Linked DNA regions of Nothobranchius furzeri. Each later gene encodes a partner of the first gene's protein in a complex. Links are inferred from orthologs where the notes say so. Each region holds a gene or a part of one and is shown in the gene's direction. Other genes may lie near its edges. The genes, in order: ap3d1, AP-3 complex subunit sigma-1 and arf2b.

Region 1 (3,655 bases):
GCAAAATACCTTATTAAACACTTACTGATTATAATGAATGCACTTCATCTACAGGAGTCAGTTCAGTTCAAAATGACCTCAACTAAAGACAAAATATAAGAGTAATCTAATGATTTCAGAGGAGTTACGAGACCCCTGTTGACCTTTTTAGGACGGCACATTTTATGATACTTTTACATCAAGAAATTAGCTTTTTATCTTCATCTCTTTTCTGTGCGAAAGTTAAACATATCGTGCTTGAAATATAAGTCTGCTTTTGACACACGAGGGATCTAAAAGTGCTCTTTCATCTTTAGTCTTCGTGTGAGGAGAAGTGTTCAGTGAAACCAGGTCTGTTAGATGGGTGTGTGTGTGTTTTATCTTTGAAGCTATCAGCCCCGAAGTGGAAGCTGGTCCAGAAACACGCTTCAGCCTGGTTTATATAGAAGACTTGTTTTCGTGTTGGCTGTCACACTTGAGTTATCGCCGTCACAAAGAATCTCGCACACCAGGATTTAGTTTTGGAGCAGCCGTTTGTGTTGGTTTGTTGGATGTGCTTAGTGTTTAACGCATCGTCATTTTTGTTGGTGTGCCACTGGTGGCATTTTTGTTGGGACTCTTAACCTTTCTTCCCTCTCTCAACACAGAAGTGGAGAACAAAGCTGGTGTGGTCATGTTTGCTAATTCTTTTAATTTGGTGTTTTGTGTATGTGTGTGTTGCCTGTTTGTGTGAGAGCAGGAAGCAGCAACGGTAGCAGCAGCAGAAGCAGCTCCAGCGCCTGGGGCTATCTCTGTCACAACACCAGACTCGGAGCCTGAAGAACCCAAAGACACTGAAATGGAGGAGACGGTGAGTCACTGCCAATAATGTGATAATTGCTAAGTTTGGCCACAGTGCTTGAGATTCCAGTTCACAAAGGCCTGACAAGATGCAGCACATTGACAGTTCTCATTCTCACAAGTTTGTGTAAATGACCTGCCATCTTTCTACAACTTTCTCTGGTCTTGAGAGGAGATTTTCAATCACTTTGAAATTTTAGTCAGTTAAAACAACACTTAAGTTTCCTGCTTCTCCGTCCGCCTGGTTTAAAGCATAATTACAACTGCCGTGAGCGGTCCTGCCACAGCCTGCTGTGGCTAGTGCTACACTTTTATTTGGTCGATGAACTGAAAGAGCTAACGAATGGCCTTTATCGAGCTACCGTCATAGCAAACAGCTGTTGCCATAAAGCAAGTAGAGACCTCCCTCTAGTGTTCCTACTTGAACCACAAAACTGTAAGGTGCAGTTTCTGATCAGCAGAGAGCTGTACAACTGGAAGTTGTTTAAATGTCAGCCTCAAGAACCACTGAAACCAGTTTCAAAGCAATAGCGTGAAGTGTCAAACTCTTCAGTGTTTAAACATATTGTTGATGTTTTACAGATTTCTAAAAGTATTTTTCTTTGCTCCTGTTGTGGGGTTTAGAAGTCATCCAAACACAAGAAGAAGAAGCAGAAAAGGGAAAAGGAAGACAAGGAAAAGAAAAAGAAGAAGAAGCATCATCATCATCACCATCACCATGGTGACAAAGGTGGAGAGGAGTCTGTTCAGAATGGGACTGTGGAGGAAGAAGAGCCTCTCCCGGTCAGTATTAAAACATCCTAAAATGTTTTACCGATATATTTAGTTTACATTCAAAGTGTTCATCACCTCTGTTTCTACAAGCTTTGATAAACATAAACATTCAATTTTAACACACACACACACACACACACACACACACACACACACACACGCACGCACACGCACACACACACACACACGTTAGATCAGTTTGATGACACAGGCTCCTGTTGCCGGGGTGTCACACCGAGTGACTGCGAACGCCCTATCTGACCTGAGCTCTTCTCTTCTTTCAGCCCATGTCCAATTACTGCCTGCTGGCTGAGAACTCCTACATCAAGGTGGTGAGTGATGGAGATTGGGAAACTGCTGCAGAATATTCTTCTTTATTTTTCCACAACCATTTATCCTCATTTGGGTTGGAGCATTTAATTCCCCAGTTTAATTTCCAATGCATAAATGTGTCTTCATGTTTCTCCAATAGAACAGTTTCTATTTAAAAAAAGGTTTAAATTAGACACAGTCCTCTTGCATTGGAGTTAAACCTGATTCAGTTTTGGTGAATTGTTAATACAGATGGGCAAATAAACAATGAGATAAAAATGGTTTTGCTGATCAAACGAGGTGAATTATCTGTAACTTTTCACATGTTTCTCCATACAAGGTTAGTAATCACCAGGTGTGTCAAAGATGGCTATGGAGAAGGATCGGTGCCAAGTGTAGAATACAAGTAAAGTTCAGGGAAATCTTTTGTACACCATACACATGATCTGTGCTCTCGGTTTGGTAAACAGTATGCACACAACTATTTAAATGCAGTGATGTATTTATTTATTTAGTTAAATTGCCAAAACCAGAAATGTTTTAATTACCTGGATCAGTGGCTCTCGAGACGAGCAACATTGCAGAACAGACTTAACCTCAGTCCAACTATAGAAAAGTAAACTGTAATCTAATTTCCATTAAACGGAGCTGAATTTTAAGCTGGAGAAATAACAACAGCGGTGTAAATGTGCAGCAGCTGTTGGGTTGAGCTGTGTGTTTGCGTCAAAGATGGCAGCTGACCGATCTCTGGGTAACTTTACTGCTTAGGGACCATCTGCAAAGTTCAACACCTGACTTTCTTATTTCAATGACATTATTAGTAGCAACTGTAGTATCATTGATCACATGAAATATTATCAGATGTTAATGGCATTACAACTAGTGATTTATTGTTTTTTAATAAGAGAGTATTTATTTTCAGGTGCTGCTCCTTGTAAACGGTCCCAAAATTTGCTCCCTGTAATGGCGAATAACTCTTATCTGTCCAGCTTAAAATATCACTTGTTTTTACTCAAACTAGTATTTTCTGTGGTTGAAGTGAGGGGGAATTTTTGGTTCAAGAAAAAAAAATCCTGACATGTTCTCAAATTCACCAAACTTGAGATGCTCTATTTAGCAAATCCATGCACACAGATTACCAGAACAAGAGCACATGTGAAAATGTGTTAGCCTAGTTTACTAAATAAAACTGTAAACAGACGTTTCAATTTTTGACACCTGGCACTACCTGGACGTCGTAGACACATAAACATTCAACATAGAAGCAAAAATCAATCCAAATGCCTTCTTTCTTTTTGTTCTCTTTAAAGATGATGGAAGACGCTGACGAGGTATTTGTTAAAGTTCTGTCTCAGGCAGAAAATTTTAAACACTCTTTGATAGATGTGCTTTTCTCTGTCCTTGTTCTTTTTACAGGCTGTCCTCTGAGGCAGATTACACGAATGCCTCTGTAGCACAGCAGTGTTTGGTCTCTTTCTGAGAAAATCTCTGTGTTTACCCCCTCGTGTTCAGCCTATTTCTAGGAATTTCTGATGTTCATCTAAAATCTTGTTTCTTGACTATTTTCTCTAACTAGACTTGGGAGAGGCGCTTAATCTCTGTGATGCTAACTTTTATTTTCCTGTTTTATTCATTTGATCGTAAGGCGTACGACATCCAGGGTAACCTGCAGGATGGCAGTCAGGTGGTTGTGTCCGTCATATTTGAGAACAAGTGTGACAGCTTCCTGAAATCCATGGAGTTCAACGTG
Region 2 (3,663 bases), on another chromosome or scaffold:
CACAATAACCAAATGAATCTGTATGAATGAACAGGAACAGAGTCAAATTAAGCAGTATGTATACCTTGAAGAACTAACTAACTAACTAACTAACTAACTAACTAACTAACTAACTAACTAACTAACTAACTTTGAAATTGAACACAGTATTTATATTTTATTACCTTTGGGCTTGATTAATGACAATATTCACTCGGAGTAAATAAACTATCAAACACTCTTTATTGCATATATTTTATTTCAGTCATTAGCTAATACCACAATAGTAGCTACATGTATATTACAGCATGCATTTGAAAAGGAATATGATTAAAAACAACTTAAATTCACAAAAAACTAAATATCTAATTTCATTTTAAATTAAGAGTTTTAGTATTTGCTGCTTGGATTTAATTCTCCAGGCAATAAACATATTTTCAGTCATTAAAATAAATATTTATGTGAATTTCTGAGCTATTCCTCTGTAATAACTCAAGTGTGACTATTTACCTTCTCAATAATTCCCTTAGAATTCACAATAAGTTGTTTACATATTATCTCATTATTATTATTATTTTATTTATTATTATTATTAGTAGTAGTAGTATTGTATTTATATCTAATATATTTTATTTGTTTATTTCACAAAAGGTGCTGTTACCCGGATTTGAGTCAGAACTTTGATTTAATGTCCTCCTGCGCCCCCGTGTGGACATTTGGAGCATCACACCCTGAGACAAGAAAGAAATAAAAAAAGAAAAGTCGAAGTTTGAATCCCTCCGAGCCGCCGTAGCAGGAGGTGGAGGAATACTGGTGGTTTGACGTGGAATATTTCCGTAAAGAGGCGATGGAGGAGTAGCTCTTTGTAGCTCCGAGTCAGCCCGTCCTAACATCACATCGAGACGGGATTCAACCCCGAAACCGGTCCGGTCTGGGTGCTCAGGAGCCGCCAGAAACCAGTCTTGCGTAGACTGAGCGCGCCGCGCCTCCATCCGTTCACCTACAATCATGATTAAAGCCATTTTAATATTCAACAACCACGGGAAACCAAGGCTTTCTAAATTCTACGAACATTTTGTGAGTAAAAGAAAAAAGAAGCAGTTTTAGTTCTTGTCATGTGTTCCTTTAGCTTCTAACCGCGTGTTTCCAGGCTGAATTAAAGCGGTGTTTAGCAAAATAATGTTTAGCAACAAAATCAATATCGGTGGCCAGGAAGCGCGTGGAAGCGTGGTCTGTGAAAAAACGAGTGCATGTTTTTATAAACTGATGTAGGTTTTTGGTCCGCGGTGGCCTTTAAAGAAACGATGAATAATTAAAGAGGAGAAACCCAAAGCGAGGCTCTCCGATTCCGCCTCGGGCTGTGAGACAGGACTGTGTTCCGTTCGATCAGGTCCAGCTGCGTGACGCTAATAGAGTTATCTGTTTGGGTCACGTGACTTTAACGACGCCCGTGTGAGTAACTCGTGTTCAACGTCAGCTGTTTTTTTTTTTAACACAAATGGAGCTGTCGGGTTAAACATGGAGCTGGGCTTGCCATCATAATAGGATTTAGATCAGTGGCGCCTTTCACCTAATTAATGCTGCTATTACAATAAGAGACTGCAGGCACAGACTTACATCAACATATAGCAGAGTTATGCTGTTTAGTGGTGATTAAAACTTCTACTTGAATGACTCGAGGAGAGACGCGGCTGCTATAAAAGCACAGAAGAGCGTCTATGGTATCCCAGAGGAGCAGGAAGTCTAGTGCACGAATAGTGATTATTTTCTGTAGTGTGCAGAAATCAAACTAAGGAAAAACATTGCTGGATTCCGTATTACAGAGCGTGTGGGGAATGGCGGTGTACACTTAGTTCTACCGCGCACCACCGTTGTGTTTTGCTCTTGTTCTGCCATTTTTGAGTTTTAAAACACAAAAATGTTTGCAAGAAATAATAAAATATTTGTAATGCAGGCATAAAAAGTCCTTTTATTATTTTTTGTTTACTGTAATTTTTTTGATTCGTGATAATTTGGTGCTTAAGGCGTAATTGAAATATACTCATCATATTGCCTATTGAACTGCACACAGTAACGCTATTAGGAGCATGCCTGCAGCACTGAGAGACAAAACAAAGCTTTCACTGACTATTTCTAAGCAAACTAGACATTTATTTTGTGTCTCTGTGTTATTTAATCTCTTTTAGGTCAGACGTGAATTAGTTTGAGTTTCAGGTGGATAAATTGAAATTGATCAGATTAGAGGAGGCTGTATACACCATCTGTTGTATTGCAAGCTGAGGTGTCAGCTTACCGTCTCACAGGATCTAATATTTCACAGCTACCGCTAACTCAATCTATCTTTAGCATGCCGATTCCTGACTTAGTTTGTCATTTTACGTCAACGCTGCACGGAAATATAAACTTGATGCACAATGTTGTTTTTGTTATTTTGAGTGACAGAACTGAAGAGGTCGTGCTCTGCTAGCTACAGGTGTGGCAGCACAGGAATGGAGCCGAAGAAGCTGGATGGGAGACGTGGAATATGTGCACATGTTAATTAGATTTGCTTCCCATCTGCTCGGGGAGGTCTAATCCCAGGGTTAACACCAGGATTACAGATTAAAAGTTCCAGATGTAGACCAGTAAAAGACAACATTTATCATCAAGATGAATCTTCATGAGAAATGTAAAAATCACCTTTTACTTTCCAGCCCTGCCGCCTTTAGTGCTACCGGGCCTGTAGACGGGTCACATGACTTAACGCTGAGCTGTGATGGACCTTGAGAGGATTTAGCACCCTTCAGGGAAGCTAAGAGCGTAAAATGATTTGTAGGTTACGTAAAACTACCAAACCTTTTCTTTTAATTTTAGCCTCTGTAGAACGTTTCAAAGATTCCTGAAGCCATGAGATGAGTCTGCCTGGTGCTGCTCACACAAGGAGTTCAGCACCTCGGGATGAAAAGGGGACGGGTGGAGTATCTCGATCCGTGTCCGAGTAAGGACACGGCGCTCGTTTTTGTTTAACCGCTTCTCTTTTTGATCCATCCTGCAGAATGAAGACATAGAGCAACAGATCATCAGGGAAACCTTCCACTTGGTGTCCAAGAGAGACGAAAACGTCTGCAATTTCCTAGAAGGTGGAATGTGAGTCATGACTGTCGAGTAGGTTTGTGACGTTAGCCGCGCCAGCAGCTTGGGGTGAAAGTCGCAGCGTTGTTGTCTCTTTAGTGCACTCAAAGCCCCCAGGGTATCTGCGGGTCCTTAAAAAGTCTTAAATTAGCTTTTCCAGATTTAAGGCCTTAAAAATCCGTAAAAATGACAAATAATCCTTAAATACAGTTTCCAGAGTTCTTAAATGACCAAAGACCCAATAAACAAGAATCTTTTATTTCTATAAAATTTTCATGAATGTCTAGTTAGTGTTCTGCATTTTTTGTGTACGATGTTGGCGTAAGCGGAACCGTACACGTTCAGTCGGTTGTGAAAGGGGGCTATTTTTAGATGAGCACGTTAGCTGGTTAAGCTAGTGGGAGGTTGCGCCATGGGGAAGTGCAAGTTTAATGGTAACTAGTTGGCTAATCCCACGATCGCGGCGTGGTTGGCACCGGTTCCAGGCAATAGCTGGAAATTATAGCTTAAATGTAATTTTTAAAAATGATAAATGGCCCGCACTGGTATAGCGCCTGTCAGAGTAAGGACTCC
Region 3 (2,776 bases), on another chromosome or scaffold:
TAGCAGATTTAGCACTCTACATGCTTCTCGTTTGTTTTTGTAAAATGCTTCCAAACCTTTGAGCTACGCTGCCGGCGCGCCATGATATCTTGTTTCTTCTGTGTTTCTGATTCAAATGCTGATCTGGATCGCATGTGCCTCTAGGAAAAAGTGGCGACTGACCCGGACGTGACTACTGCACATGTGACTCGAGGAGAAAGACGGAGCAGGCGAGATTTAAAAAATGCTCATGGAATAAACGACTAGTTGACTATTACATTTATTGACTATTTTGTTTGCTGACGTCATCGTGACGCGTTAACTAGTCATGGCAGCACTAATTGTATTATGTACTGGTTGGCAATATAATCCAGTCTAAATTGCAGGGATGTGTATTTTTTAAATTTTGGCGATACATATCACGATACAGGGGAGACGATACGATATATTGCGATGCATTCAGTCAGACGTTACACGCAATTTTTTTTACTGAATTTGTTGTAAGAATGTTCAATAAACAGTCCAAACTGATACGTAACATGTTTAACATGAGGTATCTGAACCATGATGGAGGGATTTACATTTCAGTGGTGGAAACAAAACCCATTGCACACTGCTGCCAACTAGCGGGTGGTGATTGAATTGCACAAAACGAAAAGAAAATACACAAATGTTTTGCATGTAAATTCTTTCAAGAATTAGATACACGGCTTTAGAATATCGATATAATATTGCAGGAAAAAAATCACGATATTTTGCCATATCGATATTTTCTCACATCCCTACTAAATTGTATTCAAATATAGAGGTTTTTATGAATTACATGCTACAACGGCTTGTCATAGTCTGCTGTGGTGTGTGGAGCACTTGAGTCACTGACTCAGCAGCAACAACCTGACTCTGGGTAGCAGCTGCAGCGGTTCTGCCCCACACCGCTGCAGCTGCAGACGTCCACAAATAAATGGGATAGTGGAGATTTTTCTTCTGCTTGTAGATTCGCTACCATCACGCTTTTTTTCCCTGATCTCCACTTCATCGTGAGCGTCTTTCATGCTAGCTTAGCATTAGCCAGTCTTCCCGTAGTTTAACTCTTTATCCCAAACTTTAGGCTGTTTTTGTCTTTAACATGGGAAGGACTGCCTCCACCTTTTTACCACATTGTGTGCCAGTGAAATGTGCTCAGACTGTGGTGTGCACATTTAACGCTTTGAATCAGTACAAAATTAAGGAGTTTACTTGCTTTTGCCCCCCTAGTGTCCATTTGTAGAAATGAAACCAGAACCTATCTCCTCGGTCTGCATTTGTCTTTTTATCCCTTTAATCTCACAACTGAAGTGTCTCCCAGCATTCCTAAGTGTCTAGAGGGGTGATTCATTACTAAATTAAACAAATCGGCTTTGTTCATGATCTACAACATTTAGGAAATGTTCTGGAACCAGTCTGCAGTGCCAGGTAGGTTAGTTCAATTTTTTAAGTCCTAACGGACAAGACCAGAAACTGATGTTGCAAGTGTGATCTTCTGGCCACAGGGGGCAATAGGGGCTGGGTGGCCTTTCATTAACCCAGTAAAGGGTCATTTTGGCACGTACTGGCTCAAGAAAATGATTTAAAACTTTGAAAGTTGCAAAGTATTCCTTTATTGATTCTAACCATTTGATGTTTCAGCCCTTGTTAATTATTAACAGTGGTCTCAGAAGCCCCCTCCAACCAGGACACATGCTGAAACACAAACATGTTATCTGCTCACACATTAACTTGGTGTGTTTTTGCTTTCAGGGCTTATTTTTGTGGTGGACAGCAATGACAGGGAGCGAGTGAATGAGGCGAGAGAGGAGCTTTCCAGAATGCTTGCAGAGGACGAGCTCAGAGACGCTGTGCTGCTTGTTTTTGCAAATAAACAGGTAGGACTATCCAGGAGTGTTTAGCTACTATAGACTAAAGATTGGTTTTACTGTATTAAAGAGCTCATTTGTGTTTTGTATTTAAGAATGTCAGCTTTCAGATATCGTTGATGATGTTCACCTGCTCTTCCCAGGATCTCCCCAACGCCATGAATGCTGCAGAGATCACAGACAAACTGGGCCTACACGCTCTGCGCCAGCGCAGTTGGTACATCCAGGCCACCTGTGCCACCAGTGGGGACGGTCTCTACGAGGGTCTGGACTGGCTCTCCAACCAGCTCAAGAACCAGAAATGATCCATTCCACCTATTTGGGTTTTTGTTTGTTGTTAATTTTTTTTGTTTCAACACAGCGGCAGCACCAGACCCAGGCCCCCCTGCTCCCATCTGACCTAGTTCTGATCCAGCGCTTTCATGCTTTTCCTGCTTTCCCTTCTCGTCCATCCTCTCGGGGCTCGAGCTTGTGCTGCTCATGTGTGTGAGTGTGTGAGAGTGTGTGTGTGTTGTGTGTTCAGAGAGTGTGGGTGTGAAGGTGTGTGTGTGTGTTGGCTGGGATTAGGAGGAATCCCGGCGTGCCTTTTACACACCTGTGGAATCAGCAGTCTGGTTTTCAAGCCCCCCACCCCCATTCACCAACCTCATTCCTGCCCCCAACCCACCGCCCGGTCTGCCTCCACTCTCAGTCTTGCACGACCCCCTTCACCCCCCACCCTCCAGGCACGGGCATGGTTTTCATACGGCAAAGGAAGAGCAAGGGTGGAAGCCCCACCACCACTAAATCTGTTAACTAAACTCCCCCACCCCCTCCCACTAGATGTTGATTTGAGTTGTCTGATTTTGAACCGACCATCTTAACCTGTATCAGGTCAAAGCAAAGGGGCGCACATCCATGGTTGT

The links.
Region 2: the proteins of ap3d1 (region 1) and AP-3 complex subunit sigma-1 are in contact, whole or in part, in a cryo-EM structure (PDB 9C5C), measured with the Homo sapiens proteins. The link is inferred for Nothobranchius furzeri from reciprocal best matches to the Homo sapiens genes AP3D1 and AP3S1. Residues at the interface, in NP_003929.4 of Homo sapiens: Leu18, Gln19, Val22, Arg26, Cys60, Thr63, Tyr64, Gln66, Met67, Leu68, Gly69, Tyr70, Asp71, Ile72, Ser73, Lys87, Phe88, Thr89, Arg92, Ile93, Leu96, Gln100, His103, Tyr126, Leu132, Thr133, Ser136, Tyr161, Lys164, Lys165; in NP_001275.1 of Homo sapiens: Met1, Lys13, Pro14, Arg15, Leu16, Ser17, Lys18, Phe19, Pro22, Tyr23, Glu25, Asp26, Gln28, Gln29, Arg42, Asp43, Glu44, Asn45, Val46, Cys47, Asn48, Phe49, Ser80, Glu81, Ser82, Glu83, Leu84, Gly85, Leu87, Asp88.
Region 3: the proteins of ap3d1 (region 1) and arf2b are in contact, whole or in part, in a cryo-EM structure (PDB 9C5B), measured with the Homo sapiens proteins. The link is inferred for Nothobranchius furzeri from reciprocal best matches to the Homo sapiens genes AP3D1 and ARF1. Residues at the interface, in NP_003929.4 of Homo sapiens: Lys48, Asp50, Phe77, Ile80, Glu81, Ser84, Asp107, Met110, Leu111, Thr112, Thr113, Asn114, Gln115, Arg117, Lys118; in NP_001019397.1 of Homo sapiens: Tyr35, Ile46, Pro47, Thr48, Ile49, Gly50, Phe51, Asn52, Val53, Glu54, Trp66, Lys73, Ile74, Leu77, His80, Tyr81, Gln83, Asn84.

Annotation. Positions count from the first base shown.
Region 1 is NC_091748.1:55,651,729-55,655,383, reverse strand, and holds part of ap3d1 (AP-3 complex subunit delta-1), read left to right. Parts: intron 1-718; coding exon 719-829; intron 830-1,443; coding exon 1,444-1,602; intron 1,603-1,877; coding exon 1,878-1,925; intron 1,926-3,215; coding exon 3,216-3,236; intron 3,237-3,550; coding exon 3,551-3,655. UniProt on the Homo sapiens protein: Part of the AP-3 complex, an adaptor-related complex which is not clathrin-associated. The complex is associated with the Golgi region as well as more peripheral structures.
Region 2 is NC_091757.1:54,248,125-54,251,787, reverse strand, and holds the start of AP-3 complex subunit sigma-1, read left to right. Parts: upstream 1-776; 5' UTR 777-987; coding exon 988-1,056; intron 1,057-3,013; coding exon 3,014-3,105; intron 3,106-3,663. UniProt on the Homo sapiens protein: Part of the AP-3 complex, an adaptor-related complex which is not clathrin-associated. The complex is associated with the Golgi region as well as more peripheral structures.
Region 3 is NC_091756.1:54,229,960-54,232,735, forward strand, and holds the end of arf2b (ADP-ribosylation factor 2b), read left to right. Parts: intron 1-1,755; coding exon 1,756-1,880; intron 1,881-2,014; coding exon 2,015-2,176; 3' UTR 2,177-2,208; downstream 2,209-2,776. UniProt on the Homo sapiens protein: Small GTPase involved in protein trafficking between different compartments. Modulates vesicle budding and uncoating within the Golgi complex. In its GTP-bound form, triggers the recruitment of coatomer proteins to the Golgi membrane.